2 linked regions of the Drosophila melanogaster genome follow. The protein of the gene in region 1 interacts with the protein of each later gene in a pairwise test. Each region holds a gene or a part of one and is shown in the gene's direction. Other genes may lie near its edges.

The links.
Region 2: the proteins of Cpr50Ca (region 1) and CG14931 interact in a two-hybrid assay, tested with the Drosophila melanogaster proteins (one large-scale study listed by BioGRID).

What each region holds. Positions count from the first base shown.
Region 1 is NT_033778.4:13,767,002-13,773,874, forward strand, and holds the start of Cpr50Ca (cuticular protein 50Ca), read left to right. Parts: upstream 1-2,913; 5' UTR 2,914-2,972; intron 2,973-3,764; 5' UTR 3,765-3,973; coding exon 3,974-4,015; intron 4,016-6,873.
Region 2 is NT_033779.5:11,786,758-11,791,107, forward strand, and holds CG14931 (uncharacterized protein), read left to right. Parts: upstream 1-1,576; 5' UTR 1,577-1,784; coding exon 1,785-1,833; intron 1,834-1,895; coding exon 1,896-2,020; intron 2,021-2,076; coding exon 2,077-2,574; 3' UTR 2,575-2,718; downstream 2,719-4,350. Other genes in the region: CG14932 (uncharacterized protein), read left to right, coding at 3,247-3,248, 3,302-3,358, 3,419-3,457, 3,515-3,553, 3,613-3,669, 3,726-4,179; Tsp33B (tetraspanin 33B), read right to left, coding at 4,336-4,350.

The sequences.
Region 1 (6,873 bases):
AGTTTCGGTAGGAATTGTCGCTCCTAGATAGCAGCTTCCCTAAACAGGAGCCCAGTTTCAGTCCGGACATGAGTTCAGCTCGAGAGGAAGGGGCAGCGGCTCATCTGCTTGGAAGCTGCACTGGGAAAAAACTATGGATACTTGAATATTGCAAATACTCTTATAAGATTTTACTTTGTTCTCTTTTCAATTGGATTTCACTTAATCCTTAAAATCCTTTAAATATTTAAGTACTTAGTACTTTTACACAGTTTTTTTAAACTTCTTTAAAGTCAAAAAACATAAGAACTTGTATGGTAGCACTAAGCCCTTAATATTTGCCTGCCAAATCTTTCCAACTTTAAGTTTAAAAACAGCGCAGGTTACTGTTTTTTTTCCAATCAGTGTACTTTCCTATTTATCCACTTTTGTCTCTGTGGAGCTATCGGCGAAGTGCTAGAGAGTTGGAGAACTCGCTCATTGTCAAAGTGGAAATTGTGTTCATAAATCAGAAACTGTCGCACATGTGTGACACCCGAAACCTCCGAACTGCCCTAGCTGCACTCCAACCTTCCCAGTCCAGTAACTCGGAACTTCCATTCCCCCTTTTGGCCTCCTGTTTATTGTGTTGTCAATTTGCTGCGCTCGTTGGCTTTCTGGCTGCGATGGCGTAATTAGATTTCGGCCTGGTCTAGTCGGTTTGGTTTGGTTCGGTTCGGTCTGGCACGGTATGGCATGGCGGCCAGGATAGATGGCGGCGACTGGAGGATGGGCTGATGGGAAGCAAAACCACGAAGTGAACGGGAAGTGTCGGACAATTAAGGCAGCGGCAGGGAGACCAGCAGGGAGCAGGAAGATCCTGATCTGGCGAATGAAGGAAGCTGGCAGCGAGTCAATTAAAATGTTCGATGCGATCCGATCAGCGGCGGTGCGGTCATTTCCTCAAAACCAAATGACCAACTGTCCAAGTTTTAAGCGAAACAATTTAATGGCAATTAAGTTTCGGGCATGGCCATTGTCAAAACTGGAACATCGTTGCCTCGATTGGATCAACCAGTTGACCGGGATGAGCGGCTGGAAGCGTTAACAGATCCACACATTTGGCCAACAATTGTTGCCCCCGATTCGAGCTCGAAGTCACTTTGTTAGTTGGTTAAACTTCCGCACAAATGCAACCGAAGTCTGGAGGAGATCGAAATGGGAATGGAAATGGAGATGGAGCCGGGAGACGACAACGACGACGATGACTGCATCCGCAATGCAACTTTCTGTGTGAGATTTCCGCCTATTGCAGCTGCAACTGGCGACGCATCTGGTGGCCACATGGGGGTTTCCGGCCGGAGGGAGCGGCTCCTCCAACTTCTGGCGCATCTTCGGTGTCTGAATTTATTACGAGATTGCAAATCTCCACCGCGATTACAGCAATTATGTGGCTTTCGGTAGGAGGTTGGCACATTGCCCGAGGAACGTGCCCAGAGGTGTGGAATTAAGACTCTCGGCGGAAGGGGTAAAGAAAGTGATGTCGAAAGCTCTGGTCATGAAAAAGAAACGATTTTATAAAATTGATAAAAATTATATGTATTCATTAGTAAGCTGGGAATATTACCCCCCCCCCCCCCTTGCTTAAATATTAAGTATACGCCCCTGGTCGCTTACATGGCTCTCCTCTAATAACTCAATTTCAACACCAGCAAAAACAAATGTGAAAGTGCCAAAAGCCGCCTCCCCCCCTCTCTCTCTCACTCTCTTTCCCGTGGTAACCACCAATCATAGCCAAAAATCCCCAATCAGCTCAGCATCTGGCCCAGGTTTCGATGCACTCGAACAGATAGTCCGACCTCGCCACTCTAAGCCGCTTTAAAGTCCCACCATGGGCTGCAATAAAATAATATAAAATGAAATAAAGATAATTTGTCAGCTACTTCATTTGCGGCAGCGCGTGCGTGACTCGCGGTTGCCTGTTGCATAATATCTGCAGTTGAACTTTCCCAGGGGTTAGCACTCTCTTACCCACCAGTCACCACATCACACCAACCAAGGGGTATAAGTTCTATAAATCAAATATAAATATCAATATCAAACTTATAAATATATAAGTTCCTATAAATCACATAATCAGGCTGGGCCAAGCCTTATAGGAAATGCGTGGCAGTGCATTTCACTTGTTGCCATTAATAAATTAATTATACAACCATGACGGCACTGAGCTCAGTTTTATCCCCAGACGCACGCACTCTAAGCCCTCGTAAAAAATAAAGAAAAATGCACACAGATGGTAGGAAAACTTGTACATTTCGTTGTCATCAGCACAGCAACAGCGCATATTGTGCAAATGTTGATGGTCAAAAGTTGGCTAACGCCTTGGCCAAAGCCATGGCCAAAAAAGCAGCTCGAAATGCAGCCAGCTAAAAGACAAATATCAAGTGAGTGGTGAGGTTTTCAATTTTCAAAAGTCGAAAAAGAAATGCTCTGTTTGAAGAATATATATATCAAATATAAAGACAACTTTAATAAACTCTTAATCATTGGAATTTATAAAAAATGTAACAATTAATATAGGTAAAATCATTTTTGGCATCGTAGCACCTGTCTAATTTCCATTTATCCCCACAGATTTGGAATGCAAATGAATTTCCCCGAATAAATTGCAAATTCGACTTCCTTCTGAGCGTTGCAAATTTAATCAGCAGCTTATTATGCCCCACACATAAAAAAATAAAATTCAAAAAAAAAAGAAGGAGGAGAAAAAATATGGAAAATGCAACAGCAATACGCCAGACATGGCCGAGTCTTTTCGGCAAAGGCAAAGGAATGGAAATGGAAAATGGGAAAAGCGAGGCAGCGAAAAGCGAGCCAACAACAAACCGGCTGTCTCCGTGAAAACTGCGCGGCCCCGAACACACACAAAACTCAAGTGGCGCGAAAATTCGAGGCACAGTTGCAACAGCAGCGCGCAAGCGTGCGGTTTTCCTCCACAGTTTTTCCAGCCAAAAGTAAACAAGGCAAAGCGAAACGAAACGAAACGAAAACTCAAATTAAAAGTCGCATTAAATAAATGAGAAACGAACGAGGACTGCGACGAGCAAGTTTAAACAAAGCTCAAAGACAAAGTTGAATGAATATAGTCAAAGTTTGCTTTTCTCCGCAAAGGATATGAGAAAATCATTTTGTAAAAAAAAAAAAAATATAAAGAGCTTGCATTACATTTAACCAAAGTGCTGGCTAACAAGGATATAATATACCTTAAAATAAATTAAATCAAAAAAATATAAACGCATCAAGTTAAACGTCGAGCAAATTAATGAATATTTTACTGAATGACAAAAGTGAAACTTATAAGTGAAACATCTAAGGACGAATAACGAAAACGATTAGTTAGATAGTTAAATTTGTTAAATTAGATTTTATGGTCTTGTTTTATCTCAAAAATCTCTTAGTTACTAATGAAAAAGATTTTGGTAAAGAATATAAGATCAGAAATAATTCTCATTAAACATAATTCATTCATTTGTCATTCATTTGATTTTCTAAGAACAGGAATTTTTGAAATCGCAGGATACTATTTTTCTGCCTTCATAGTTTTAAAAAGTACTCATTTAACACAGCCTTTGCAGATGTGTCATCTGTTAAAGTACCATATAATGATTTTTGTTTTACTAATTTGTTAATTATGATGTTTCATAATTATGGGGAAATGTTTAAAACAGTTAATATGAGAATTTGAAAAGCACTTTTCGCAATTAGCTGCTGTGATAGTTAACCAAACTGAACGAATACTTTTCCAGGTCCGACAAACAAACAATAAGGTTCAACGCTGAACAAACTCATTTACAATTTGTATTTAAAATACCAAGACGGCGAAAAACAGCGTGGGAGAATAACAGAAATTTCAACAACAATTACAAATTGAGCTGCCACTTTTGTGGAAACGCGAAAAGTGCAACGTGCAACTTGACGCCTCATTTGCCCGAACTTCCGCCGACATCCAAGGAAAATGGAAATGGCTATCTGCGGCGGTGGCATCCCCACCTTAATGGTAAGTACATGGGGTCGGTTCGTTTCGGGTCGGGTTCATCATTCTGAAATTTTAATATAAATAACCGACAACTGCAAGGGCCATCGAGGCGTGAAAACAACAAGCGCCAGTGGAGAGACTTCGAGCGAAATTTCTGGGCGTGGGCCTGGGAAAAGTGTCGGCCTTCGATGCAGCGATTTTCATTTTCTGGCCAGGAAATGGACGCGGCCAGTCACTGCATATGGCGGGCTTCTTCTCATTTTCCTGGCGCACGCACATTTCGCAAGCAATTTATTTTCATTGCACTTGAACTTCAATTAGCCCGGAAACCAGCGAATACTGGCCAGACTTCGTTTAATTACCAGGCATTAAAATCATAAAGCGTATTCCAAAGTATCTTTGCTCAAAAATTCGTTATGCAACTGGCATTGATTGTTTGTGCTTTTTGGCCAAAACGCTCTCCATTTTATGACCCCGGTCTTTATGAAGGCCCGCTGTGGTTATCTAACCGAATCGACATTGGAATCCATATCCAACTGCCGGGACGAAAGGAAAATGCACCAGCAGCATTTGCAATCGAAACTGGAAATTTGCAATTTAAGTGGATGGAAAAAAAAAAAAAAAAGTTTGCGACCATTGCTGGCATTTCTTTTCAGCCAAGTTTCCTTGTGGCCCAGGAAGCACTCGTACCCCCAGCACTTTCTAGACCCGTAAAGTCTTTTATGTGCATTGAACTTGACTTTGCCGCCGGTTTTTGGCCAGGGCAAAAAAGACCAAACTGGTTCTAACTGCCACGGCCACTGCAGTTGGTAACTACCCACGTTGCACCACCCACATCTCACTGCCACATTAACAATTAGCCCAAGCTGTGCCTTTTGCCTGCCTGCTACCATTTCTTCTGCTGTCTCGACTCGCTCTCCGTCTTGGTCTTGCTCTTGGTCTGGAACTTAGTCTTGGCCCTGGGTCTTGGCCCACTCCACTCCACACCATACCACTCGTCTGGGTGGCACGTTTTTCCGGCTTGTTGCATACAACAAGAGACGATGCCGTAAGCGCATATTGCAGCCAACAATTAAACAAACTTGTGGCCAAACAGCAATTACAGAAACCATTTAATGAAGCAACCTGCTCGACATGAAAGAAAGCGAACGAGAACAATAAAGTCCAGAGGGAATGTGTTTGTATTGATTGGGTTAAAGACATGGAACTTTAGAGAAAAAATTATAAATAAATAAAAACATACACGAATCCAAAACTTAATCAAATCAAACAAAAGATAGTGATTTAGTTTATATTAACCCAAAACGAATTTCCACAAAATAAATGATTTTTCTAAAACTAATTGAATGCTGATACAAAAAACACCTTCTGTTTGCCCACTGAGATGTTGATTCCCTTGTAACTAAGAAGCCAGAAGATGATCAAAACTAATTGAATTGCTTTTACAAGTTTATCACCTCCATGCCATGCTGACTTTTATTATTGGTTATTTGTCTTGAAAAAATAAACCGAGTACAATAAAAGCCAGTTCAGCACTTTTAAACTGCCAGTACAATAAATACAACTTGTAAACAGCTGTAAAACTCGAAAGCCAAATGGTAAAAACGTAATTTAATCAAACTTTAGCTCTCGCAGCTCTCGCTGCAAATATTACAGTTTCAATTTCCCAAATAATGTCAAAACAAAAGAAAACTTTTAAAACGCCATGCAGATAGTAGTATTAGAAGTAGGAGTAGAAGTTGAAGTAGTAGTTTCGCTCCTTTTGCCTCTCTTAGCGGATCGTAAAGGAATTGTTAACTAGTTTTCGCAGCACTTCTAATGCCATAAAATCCGACTGAGCAAACTGAAACGAACGCAAATAGCAACAATTTTTATCGCTTCTTTGCATTGAGTTTTCAAACGAATCTAGCGCGTGTCCCATCTGAAATGAAAAGACACTTTTTCCGGGCGAAAAAAAAAATAAACGCAGAACCCAAGCCACCCAAAAAAAATAAAAAGTGTTAAATAGAAAGCACATACAATTTTATGCAACCCAAGTGGGTGGCTGCCAGAGGTTCAACATTTGCCCACCATATATATATATATATATGTTTGTTTGGAAAGTTCACTGCATTTTTCAGGTTACTAGGCTCAGTTGGAGAGTGGGGAGGGGGGCACTAGGGTCTAGAAGGGGCGCTGGGGGCGTGGCCGTTTGGCAGCATCGTTGGCGTTGCTAACTCCATAAAAATTCACTCAGGCGCAGTTTTAACGGCCGTTAAATGTTTACGCGGCTGCATTTTTAACGACCGTTGACAGTTCATTTGGGTTTGGCTCGATGGGCTTAGTTAAAGTATCCCCAGGGGGGGTGGGGGCGATAACTTCACTATGTAGCCATTTACGAGTCTCACGGTATCTTAACACCTGATTTAGTTTAGTTCCTGCTTCTTAGCCAGTGAAATACCACAGCCGCTCTCCTATCGCAATCCATCGCGAAATGTAAGTTAATAATACAGCTGATCGAATTGCATCACTGGCCAAAATCAATTCGACAGCCATAATTGGTCTTACGTAAAACGAGAGTGCCAGCAAAGCAATTGAAATCGCACATCAATGAGTTTAATGGCCATAAAAGCCAAGTTCAACCTGTTGACGTGAAAGTGGCGGCCAGGCGAACTCCCAACAAACTTGGATCGCGAGGAGCGCGTGCTAAACTCGTTCCATTTGTTTATTTTTTCTGATATTTCTTTTCTTTCTCCTCACTTTTATTTCGCCAAGACCCCAAGAATCGAGCTGAGTTCAGGCCAGGTTCCACTTGCAGTTGAAGCTGCAGCTTCCGTCCAAATGGGGATTGGTGGAAAGTGAAAGTGGGCAGACGACCAAAAATCAGGTGGACGGACAGC
Region 2 (4,350 bases), on another chromosome or scaffold:
GGCTGCCTAATGTGCCGGAAAGCTGGCGAGCAAAAGTTAATGGCGAAAATCCTTTAGTCCCCCACCATAATGAAAACATAAAACGGAGCCACTAAAAGCAAATCGACAGCGGCACATATTTGCTAATCCAATAAGTGTTAGCTGCTTCACTGCCTGCGAAAAGGGGTGGGGCATTAAAGGGTTAAAGGAACGCATAAAATTTGAATACATTTTCGCCACTCAGAACGCTTAAACTCGTTACCTTAGCTAACGCAAATAATTCAAGTCGACGTTTTATTTTATTTTTTGTTGCCCTGTCAAACGTGTTTCGCGGTAATTGAACGGACTTTAAATGCCAGCCAAAAACTGTACAAAATGCGGGCTAACACAAACGGCTTTGGTCCAGGTTTTTCTTCTATTCTCAATTTTTTTTTTTTTCATTCTTTTTTTTATTTATTTGCCTTTGACGTGCCACTAAAACTGAGGTTTGGGTGGGTCGACGGCGAGGGGAAAGTAAAGCCAAATGCAGTTGGGACTCAATGGCGACTCCTATGCAAAAGAAGCAATGCTCGCCAACGCGACGACATCGAAACTTTTCCTATTTTTTGTGCTTTTATTTTTGGTGTCGCTGGTTTTAACCAGCAAAATAATTTGGTTATATAGAAAATAGTATCAGGAAAAAAGTTATGCCCAAAATATAACAAGAAAATAATGTAAATACCTTGAAAAATATGAAAAACCAAAATAAATTGTATAAAATATGTAAATATATGGAATATAATAAATTATATATTTTTGTTTTTTAAAAAACTTAACAAGGTACACATGTAACGTAAATTCTTTTTTTAACCTATCTAAATTAAGGCACGAAAAATTTACGAATGCTATTAAATAGGTTTTCATAAGCCTGCATATTTCTGAAGCACCCCAGTCCGTGTATGATCTCAAAATATTCAGGGTATTATGACTTTCCATGGGGACAAAGTCGAGCTGAAAACTGCCCCACAGAAAGAACAATTTTCGGGTCGAAAAGGCGCTCCATGGCAGCGAAAATGGCAAACTGACTTCAAGTGGCATTTTGACATTTTGTTGAATTTCAACTCGCTTTTCGTTTTGGGATGCAACGATGGGGTCCGAGGTATGTATGTAAAAAGTGAAAGGGGCGTGTTCAGGGGGCCAGAAAACTCGCAGGTGGCTGGGCATGCAAACGAAATGCAAAGAGACGCATATTTTTTTACTTAAATTAGAAAAACAATTGCCAGCGTTGTGGGTAGTGAAAGCTGCAACTTTGGTCAGCAGGTTGACCACACAAAAAGTTCGCAAAGTATTTACTTTTTTCACGATGCATTTCAACTTCGCAGAGCTGGTGTTAAAACTTCGCCATTTTGGAGCCCAGCTTTTTACCCATAAATTGTTTTTTAAGTGTAATACCAAACGAAGTTTAAAGGCTTTTTGTTGAGGTAATTAAAAGACTGGACTTAAATTACGAGGAAAACATATACAATTTTATCAAGTTACATTATAGAACTTAATCACTTATATCACTTTATAATAACCACAACATTTTCAGAGCCTTATCGTTTTTTTTTTTTTTTAAATAGTTTTTAATATTTTCACATACAACTCGAAAACTTGTTGCACCATCTCTAAGTGTGACCATTACTTGAGATCACATCTTAACTATCGATATGGCGTTATAGACGATTTCAGTTTGGCGAAAAGTTCCGTTAGCAGCAAGAACAAGAGCAAATGCATTGTAACCACATAATATTAGTACTAAAGTTGTTGTTTTTGTCCCATTGAAAATGGAGTTACGCAGCCGAACAAACAGGAGATTAGTTGACTTCCTCAAAAGTAAGATATTCTAAATTAGACGTCCTTAACATACATACATATATAACTAACTATTTGCTCAGGCGCAGGCGTTTACGAGGAAGGCATGGATATTGAGGAAATGACCGAATTAGCAAGTGTCGTGCAGCAATCAGCTAGTATCAGTCCCCAGGATGAGGATCTAGAAAGGGCTCTGCACGTGGGAAAAGTATTCAGTTAACAATAAACAATAAATAGTAATTAGCTTCTCATTAATGTCGACAGGAGAGCGAGTCTGATTTTTTGACTTCGCATCCCAGTGCTTTGCACAACTCCACGATGATCATGTCGCCGCAAGTGTCCAGAAGAAATCCCTCAGACATGGACAGTCCACCGAGCGAGCCGATCCGTATAACTTTTCGGGCTTTGGTGCACCGTGCCATGGACTGGAGTCCCACCACGGGCAATCAAATTCCCGATCGCAAGCGCATTGCTGCGGATCGCAATCAAAACGTCGAACTAGTTGGCAAACGTTCCAGAGCAACGCCGGCTATCAGCATTGGCCAGGCACCGGAGGATGAGCCGCACAATGCCGACGCCACACCCGTTTCCCCGGGCAACGAATGCGACTCCGGCGTCAGCTGGGAGGAGATATCTTTGTCCAGCGCCAGCGATAGCACCACTCTTCCTTCCATCGGCGAAATGCCCGATCGACATTTAATCAGCACCAGCAGCGTCGCCGTCTCGGATTTCTCAGATGCCAATGAAATCAGCCAGGAATAGGCTATTTCCGCCCATGTCTTGTGGTTTATGTTTCCCAATCGAATGCAGTAGAGATTTTACAATGTTTATAGCCCACATATGTCTAAGAAAGAGTACTCGAATAAGTTAACTATATGTCACATTAAAGGATTGAATTTATTGCATAATTGTGGCTTGTGTTTTTGGTCGAGCTGTATTTATTCCAATTCCAGTTTCCTTAACTATTTAGTCATAAGCATGTCAAGTTCAATAAAAACGAACACCCAATATATAAAAACATTTCCAAAGGTGGAATTAAATTGTGATGGCTTGACTTTACATAAATATGTATAATTACATTTGTATTTGGAAGTTTGTAAATTAAGCCTGTTGTACAACACTGGTACGTCTTTTTATAGGAATTTAAACTTTTTATGTTTAACTGCCATTTTAAGGCTAAACTTAACCAAAATTTTAAGGCTCAAATTTACCAAAACCTTTAGTATAAATTTCTATTTTTACTAAATGTTAAGAACACGTGACTTGAGCTTTAACTGAATTTTATATATTAATTACATATGCTCCAGTAAGTTTTCAACAGTATTTTGATCAACACTGATGTTCTTATTAAACATTCCTTGGAGTGGACACACTGGCCGCACGGCTTTTCACATTGTCATTTTCCAGGAGCTAGGCGTTGAAAATTTGTTAAAAATGTAATTAAAATTAAAGCAGTTCATTAAATATATTGATGGATTATTCATTGCAGGTCCCAATCAAAGGTTCCTCATATTGTGGGCGATGATGATGAATATCAAGAAGCTACGTAAGACTTCATTAATTTAGCTTCAGAAAAACACTGACAATATATGTATTTCCTTTCTAGTGCTCCCGAAAGTGACGAGATTACCTGCGAGTCTTCTGTGTAAGTCTTTTTAATATAATGTTTTGATAGATTATTTTTAAGTTGCCTTATAATCAGGGAAAGTGATCAAGATGATGACTGTTCCAACGAAGATGAGTGAGTAAATTTAATGTTATAAAACAAAATCATTTTTCTTCATTTTGTGAACCTTTTAGTATGGATTTGGATGGGGCAGACTGGTCCCCATATGTCACTTATGAGGCGGGTACACCGTAAGTTATAGTTTCGTAATGTAGAACGTGGAATAACGGGTTCGGATTCTCTACAGAAGACGTCCCCACAGTGCTTTGGAGATTACCGAAATTACCGAGTTTCCGAAAATTCCAAAGAAAAACCCCACCTCACCCGAACTGGTGATACAGAAGCCAGAGACTCCGGATCAAAACGACTCGGGATCTCAGGAGCGTCTCACCTTCTCTCGCGCCAATAATGCGCTATCAGAGTCCATTGGAGCTCGCGTTTCCCAACGTAGCAGGGGCAACTTGGAACCATTCATCCGTAGAATGGCACGTAGCCCTACGCCCGAGGCCTCAGAGGAAAACGGCTCGGTATCACAAGGTCAGCTGCTGGCCAAGCCCGTGGATGTCACCGAGTTCTTTCACCGCATTGCTGTGGGTCTCGTCGAGCAGCGCGTCTGCTTGAAGCCTTTCTTGGCATTGCGCAAACATATTGCTCAACTGGTGGGTCAGACTTTGAAGAAATCCAAGAGGATGCGCCGTTAATCCATTTAACATCCAATGTTACAACATCCATGTAATAAGTATCCTATAATATCCAATAAATAATATATTGCGTTCACCGATTGGATATGAAGTTAACTCAAATTCGTAAATTTAATTAAATTAATATAAAATATAAAAGTAAAATTAAGCACAATATTAGTATCCACACGG